Linked DNA regions of Macaca fascicularis. The protein of the gene in region 1 binds, or shares a complex with, the protein of each later gene. Links are inferred from orthologs where the notes say so. Each region holds a gene or a part of one and is shown in the gene's direction. Other genes may lie near its edges.

The links. The genes of interacting proteins can lie anywhere in the genome.
Region 2: the proteins of NME5 (region 1) and DYDC2 are in contact, whole or in part, in a cryo-EM structure (PDB 8X2U), measured with the Mus musculus proteins. The link is inferred for Macaca fascicularis from reciprocal best matches to the Homo sapiens genes NME5 and DYDC2. Residues at the interface, in NP_542368.2 of Mus musculus: Arg140, Ala145, Val146, Ile147, Ile151, Pro152, Ala156, Ala157, Tyr160, Ile161, Tyr164, Val165, Thr168, Leu169, Leu173, Leu176, Cys177, Lys180, Pro181, Asp183, Pro184, Tyr185, Leu186, Leu188, Ala189, Asp190, Leu192, Met193, Asn196, Pro197; in NP_001347537.1 of Mus musculus: Asp2, Tyr5, Leu6, Cys9, Phe10, Gly13, Leu14, Leu18, Val21, Ala22, Arg23, Val24, Arg25, Pro26, Asp28, Pro29, Ile30, Glu31, Leu33, Ala34, His35, Leu37, Tyr38, Tyr40, Arg41.

The regions. Positions count from the first base shown.
Region 1 is NC_088380.1:144,614,484-144,618,002, reverse strand, and holds part of NME5 (nucleoside diphosphate kinase homolog 5), read left to right. Parts: intron 1-380; coding exon 381-481; intron 482-3,519. UniProt on the Homo sapiens protein: Functions as part of axonemal radial spoke complexes that play an important part in the motility of sperm and cilia. Does not seem to have nucleoside diphosphate kinase (NDPK) activity.
Region 2 is NC_088383.1:66,445,454-66,448,972, reverse strand, and holds part of DYDC2 (DPY30 domain-containing protein 2), read left to right. Parts: intron 1-1,970; exon of another isoform or gene 1,971-2,054; intron 2,055-2,702; 5' UTR 2,703-2,711; coding exon 2,712-2,858; intron 2,859-3,214; coding exon 3,215-3,337; intron 3,338-3,519.

The DNA.
Region 1 (3,519 bases):
TTGGGATGGTATGTTAAAATAATAATGGTAATACAGGAACAGAAATTCAAATTTTCAGCATTATTGCTAATGTATGGAAATAAGATATTGAGTTCTTGCACTTTTGAATGTGCATTGCTTTTTTACTTCTTACAAAACAACACCACGTTTTTATCCAGAGAACTCCTGTTTTCCCAGTGTATTCCTCCTGCAGACGTGAATATATTTGATCCTTATCTAGATAGATAAGCTTAAATTTAAGCTTAAATTTGACATAAATTGTGAAGCTTTCATATGTAAGAAGTGGCAATGCTTTTGTAAAATTCTTAAGTGGAATGCATGCATATAAAGTAAGGAATAGATGTCAGACTGGATGAACATCATCTCTAACTTGTTTTTAGTCTAAGGGCAATTTATGGCACAGATGACCTAAGGAATGCACTTCATGGGAGTAATGACTTTGCTGCTGCGGAAAGAGAAATACATTTTATGTTTCCTGAAGGTGAGTTACAGATGACTAACTTGTCAACTGCATCTCCTTATTGTTTGCTTTTTCTTTTATTTTGCGGATATAGCTGGGAAGGAAGATAAAATAACTTTTTTCCAGTATATTTTGTTAGGTTTTCAAGTTGTTGTTACTTAAAAACTTGAAGCCACAATGGAAAACTTGACATTTCCTTAACAACTAAATTGTGCCCTCTAGCGACTTTTGAGAAGTGTTTAATTTTTTTTATTTATCTATTTTTAACATTAAAAAAAATTTAAGACAGTGTCTCACTGTCACCCAGGCTGAAGTGCAGTGGCACAGTCTTGGCTCACTGCAGCCTCAAACTCCAGGGCTCCGGTGATCCTCCCACTGTAGCCTCCCAGGTAGCTGAGACTATAGGTGTATGCCACCATGCCCAACTAATTTTCTTTTATCTTTTGGAGAGATGGGGTCTCACCGTGTTGCCCAGGATACTCTCAAATGCCTGTGCTCAAGTAATCTGCCTGCCTTGGCCTCTCGAAGTGCTGGGATTGCAGGTGTAAGCCACCACACCCAGCTTAATTTCTTTTTTCTATCTTTTCTCTTGCATTAGACATATTCTTCTGTGTTACAGTTCTTTCTAGTTATCCTGAAAGGTTCAGTAGAGTTTGTGACACATGAGAAAAATAATCTCTCTTGGAAACTACATTTGATTTACCATCTTCTCTAACAATTTACTGTTTGCCTAACAAAGTCTCCTGCAATTGAGAAATTAATAATTAGTCCCTTTTTTTGTTTCCTTACTGTTAGAGAAGTTGTAAGCCTTTGAGAAGTGGACATATGAGGAAGAACACTGAGGTTTTTGGTTTGTTTTTAATATTTTTAGAGCAGAAATAAAATTTGGTGATATTTGTTATAAGGAAAAAATGCAAAGCATTGAGCAAAATTTTGAATTTGTTTTAGTATGTTATTTTTCCTGTTATGACTTATTTTTCCCTAAGTCATTTAGATCTGTTCCTCAGTATTTTCCACTGGAGATTAATTCAAATAAAACTGAAAACTGTCTTGGAGATTTAAAAGTTCTTTATTTATTTATTTATTTTTTGGGAGATTTCACATTTTTTTGAATAACTGATGTGATACAATAGTATCACTGTTGTTTGAATTTCTAAATTCAAAATAAATATATTTCACATTTTGAGTACTTGATCTGTTACTTTTTAGTGCCAACAGGCTTGGTAAAGGCCTGATGCTGACCTGACAATGGGCTGACAACTTTCCTCCACTGGCCTTTTAGTCATCCTCCCAAGGGAAGACCTGCTTCCCTCCTTTCTGTACAGTCTGAAAAGTCCCTGATTCTTAAACAAGGAAACAAAAACTAGTTTTAAAATTGTATATTTTTTCTCAAAGCAGTCCTCCTGCCTCAGCCTCCCAAAACACTGGGATTACAGGAGTGAGCTACCGTGCCCAGCGAGAGGTCTTTTTAATGTGGTAGCACTTTATATTAGTCTTACAAGTGAATTAGACTTTTGCTTGTTAGCTTCTGTTATTTATTTATCTATTTGAGATGGAGTCTCACTCTGTCACCCAGGCTGGAGTGCAGTAGCATGGTCACAACTCATGGCAGCCTCAACCTCCTGGGCTCAAGTATCCTCCTACTTCAGCCTTTGAGTAGCTGGAACCACAGGTGCATATCACCAGCCCCAGCTAATTTTTGTATTTTCTATAGACATGAAATCTCACTATGTTGCCCAGGCTGGTCTTGAACTCCTGGGCTCAAGCAATACTGCTGCCTCTACCTCCCAAAATGTTGGGATTATAGACATGAGCCATCACGCCTGACTTCTCTCTAGCTTTTAAATAAAACAGGATAAAAATTCATTTTATCTTAAATAGAAGGTATATTTGAAAGCTCTTCTTACTCATTGGATTATATTCCTAAACTGTAATTTTCTTTCTTTTCGCTTTTTTTTTTTTGGAGATAGAATCTCACTCTGTTGCCCAGACCAGAGTGCAGTGGCACAATCACAGCTCACCGCAGCCTTGGCCTTGCAGACTCAAGTAATATTCCCACCTCAGCCTTTGGAGTAGCTGGAACCACAGGCATGCACCACCACACCCGGCTAGTTTTTCAAGTTTTTTGTAGAAACAGAGTTTTGCCATGTTGCCCAGGCCAGTCTGGAACTGTTGGGCTCAAGCGATACTCCCTCCTGCCTTCCAAACTGTTGGGATTACAGGGGTGAGCCACTGTGCCCAGCCAACTGTTATTTTCAGTTGCCTTTGATTTTACTCATTAAATTAATCCTCTAGGCATGAGTTTAGAGATCTAGTTAGACATTTGAGAAGCAGCAAGTTGTAGGATAAATATAAAATCATTAATTACTTAGCACATTGCAGATCTTTTGCTGTGAAGTTCTTTGGAGCAAGTACTGAGAGTTTGCGGTATGAGCGTCCTCTTACTTAGCAGTCGATCAACAACTATGTGCAAAACTTTATACGACAATTCATTCAAGCAAGTTATCAAGATATTCAAAGACATGTTCTTTTTTTTTTTTTTTTTTTTTTTTGAGACAGAGTCTCGCTCTGCCGCCCAGGCTGGAGTGCAGTGGCACGATCTCGGCTCACTGCAAGCTCCGCCTCCCGGGTTCACGCCATTCTCCTGCCTCAGCCTCCCGAGTAGCTGGGACTACAGGCGCCCGCCGCCTCGCCCGGCTAATTTTTTGCATTTTTAGTAGAGACGGGGTTTCACAGTGTTAGCCAGGATGGTCTCGATCTCCTGACCTTGTGATCCGCCCGCCTCGGCCTCCCAAAGTGCTGGGATTACAGGCGTGAGCCACCACGCCCGGCCCAAAGACATGTTCTTAACCCTTGAAAAAAGTAATGCTGGCTGGACGCAGTGGCTCACACCTGTAATCACAGCATTTTGGGAGGCTAAGGCAGATGGATCACTTGAAGTTAGGGGTTCGAGACCAGCCTGGCCAGTGTGGTAAAACCCTGTCTCTACTAAAAATACAAAATTAGCCAGGCATAGTGGTGGATGCTTGTAATCCCAGCTACTCAGAAGGTTGAGGCAG
Region 2 (3,519 bases), on another chromosome or scaffold:
GTTTAGACAGGGTCTCACTCTGTCACCCAGGTTGGAGTGCAGTGGTGAGATCTCAACTCATTGCAGCCACAACCTCCTGGGCTCAAGTGATCCTCCCACCGTAAGACCCCGTGCACCTCCCCACCCCCTGCCGCCAAGTAGCTGGGACTACAGGTGTGTGCCATCCCACCTGGCTAATTTTTGTATTTTTTGTGGAATACAAAAGCATGGGCAACATGGTTTTGCCATGTTGCCCAGGCTGGTCTCAAACCCCTGAGCTCAAGTGATCCTCCTGCCTCAGCCTCCCAAAGTGCTGGGTTTACAGGCATGCACCACCATGCCCAGCTGAATTATTTTTTCCTGCCCAGGCCCAATCTAGGATCATGTGTTACATGTAGTTATTATAGCTGTTCAGTCTCCTTTGATCTATAACAATTACTCTTTTTTTTTTTCATAACCTCAACATTTTTAAGAGTACAGGGTAGTTGCTTTGGATTTATTTGCTGTTTCTTCAATTACATTCAAATACTGCATTTTAGACAGGAATCCATGGAAATGTTTTATGTACCATAAGAAGTACATCCCATCAGGAGGCACTTGATGTCACTTTGTTCCTTTATTGGTGATATTTACTGTGATTACTTGGTTAAGGTTTTGTTGGCCAGGTTTTGCCACTGTAAAATTTCTGTATTTCCTTTGGAATTAATACTTAATTTGTGAGAAGAAACTTTGAGACTATGCATATATCTTATTCCTTGTCAAATGTTCACCCAGGTTTAGCACTCATTGACTCATTGATGATTCTGCTTTGATTCAATTATACTATGGTGGTGAGGAAATGGCAGTTTTTTAAAACTCCATTATTTTCCCCACATTTATTAGTTGGCATTCTACTTTAACAAGAACTTTGCCTTCTCCCTTCTTAATCTATGTATATATTCTCATATGGACTCATGGAGTCTTATTTTATTCTGTAATTTATAATCCATTACAGTCACTATTTATTTTAATGGTTAAACTGCCCCAGATTTGACTAGTAGGAGCCCCTTCAAGCTGGCTTCTCTGTCCCCACCCATTGTATTTTTCAGAATTTTCTTACTTTCTGGCAAAACCAAATGTTCCAGGCCCATTAGACTTGTCCTGCCCCAGCCTTGGAATCAGCCATTTCTCCAAGGAGCCCTGATTCCTCTTTTTTTTTTTTTTTTTTTTTTTTTTTTTTTGAGACGGAGTCTCGCTGTGTCTCCCAGGCTGGAGTGCAGTGGCGTGATCTCGGCTCACTGCAAGCTCCGCCTCCCGGGTTCACGCCATTCTCCCGCCTCAGCCTCCCAAGTAGCTGAGACTACAGGCGCCCGCCACCACGCCCGGCTAGTTTTTTTTTTTTTTTATTTTTAGTAGAGACGGGGTTTCACCATGTTAGCCAGGATAGTCTCGATCTCCTGACCTCGTGATCCACCCGCCTCGGCCTCCCAAAGTGCTGGGATTACAGGCTTGAGCCACCGTGCCCGGCCACCCTGATTCCTCTTAAGTGACGAAGGCTATTTACAAGCAAGGTTTATATGCTCAGTGTGCTCATTGCTACTGAAGTGTTTTGGTTTCAAGGCCCTTGTAGTGGAGAGAGCTAGGAAATATTTTTTTCTCTATCCATAAGATAGATATGCGTAAGATAGATATGGATATCTATCTGTTTTTCCTTCCTTAAGCTAGAAAATGGGGAGTAGGGGGGAAAATTGAAAAATGCCTCCAGAAAATGTTAAGGCTAGATCTAAGCTTTTATTATTCACCGGACTCTTTTGGAATTCAAATGTGTCAACTTCAAGAATGTGGAATCCGTCAGGAGGAGGCCAGGTCCTAGGTCATTTCATGGCACAATCCTCCACTGAATAGTGTAATAAGCAGTTACTCTGTGCCTGGCTAAGTGCCTGGTGTGTGTTTATTATCACCTCTAATCTAATTATTGTGAGCTACATACTTTTGTTACTTTTATTTTACAGATGAGAAAACTGAGGCTGAGAGAGACTGAGTGACTTGCTAAAGATCACACAGCTAATAAGTGGCAGAATCAGGACTGGAACTTGGTCTGTCTTATTCCAGAATGTGCATTCCTACTGCCACAATTCCCTGCTGCTCCTAAGTTTGGGCTACATTGCCTCCAGCTCTTGAAATATGATGAATAGTAAATCCCTAAGTAATACAGAATGGAGCATTATATCAGGTGCTGGCAGAGCTCCTGACAAGCAGTAGCTGTAGCACCAACATTTTCCCTCTCTCTTCTCCCCAGTGCCTTTCCGTGGTCCCTTGTGAAATAAATGAGCCTATCTTATCTATGTCATAGATGACTGTAGCCTCCTACCTCACAATAGCACAGCCTGCTGGGTGCTCAGAGCCCCTCCCCAGGACCTCCTGCCTGCTCCTTTAAATTTTCTCTACTCAAGAGCAAAAATGTGTGGGTAAGGGGAGGCCTTAGCCACCCTTACCACCAAAGTACCAACCTCCTCGCAAACCTGGTAAACCCTAGGACCCACACTGTCTGACCTAGTGCAGCTGGAGAACTTTAGAAAAAGTCCATTTGAATATAAGAGCAAGTAAGTGTTCATTGGTTCTTTTGGGAAGGGTGTGATCCAGAAACATCTCATATTTATCCTGAAATAAATCTGAATTGGTTAGAATGTGTCTATTTTTAATATCAGACTAAGTTAATAAAATAACGCGTCTTTGTTTTCCAGGCTGCCAGGATGGAAACTAACTACCTAAAGAGGTGCTTTGGAAATTGCCTGGCCCAGGCACTGGCAGAGGTGGCGAAGGTTCGGCCCAGTGACCCAATAGAATACCTGGCTCACTGGCTTTATCATTATGAGAAAACAGCGAAAGCAAAAGAAAAGGTGTGTATGGGCACTGCGACTTAGGGAGGGCCCAGCTTTCCTAGAGTAATTTGAAAGCCAAGACACAAGGCAGGATTCTGGAGCTGGCCTGGGGAATTTCTTGGTTAATTTGACTTGCTCTTAGATCTAGATATCCCTGAAGCATGGGGATCCTGGGGGCTGAGAGGAGTGGGGCTTCAACTCAGAGGAGCTGTGGAGTTGAAGGGTTTGTAACTACTAGCAGGCTAAAGCTAGTTACAGGAGGAAACTCAACAGGCCCAAAAGGCCCACAGCCCAGATCAGTCTCCAGTGAGGGGGCCCCATTTATAAGGCTTCCCTGGGTGCTGACCTGATTCGACTCTGTCACCTCACCCCAGAATAGGGAAGAGAAGATCCAGCTGCAGGAGGAATATGACAGTAGCCTCAAGGAAATGGAAATGACAGAAATGCTGAAACAGGAAGAGTATCAGATTCAACAGAACTGTGAAAAGTGTCACAAGGTAGGGAGAAGGACTCAGCTTTGGGTGGCCGCACACATCCCAACATGGAATCCAGGAAAGCCACAAGTCAGCCCAGTCCCCACCCAAGGCACATTAAGGATCCCTTTAGCCTGATTTTCACTCTGTATTCACATATTTGCATATAAACCAATGTTATTGACAATCTTTGTTAATGAAAAAAG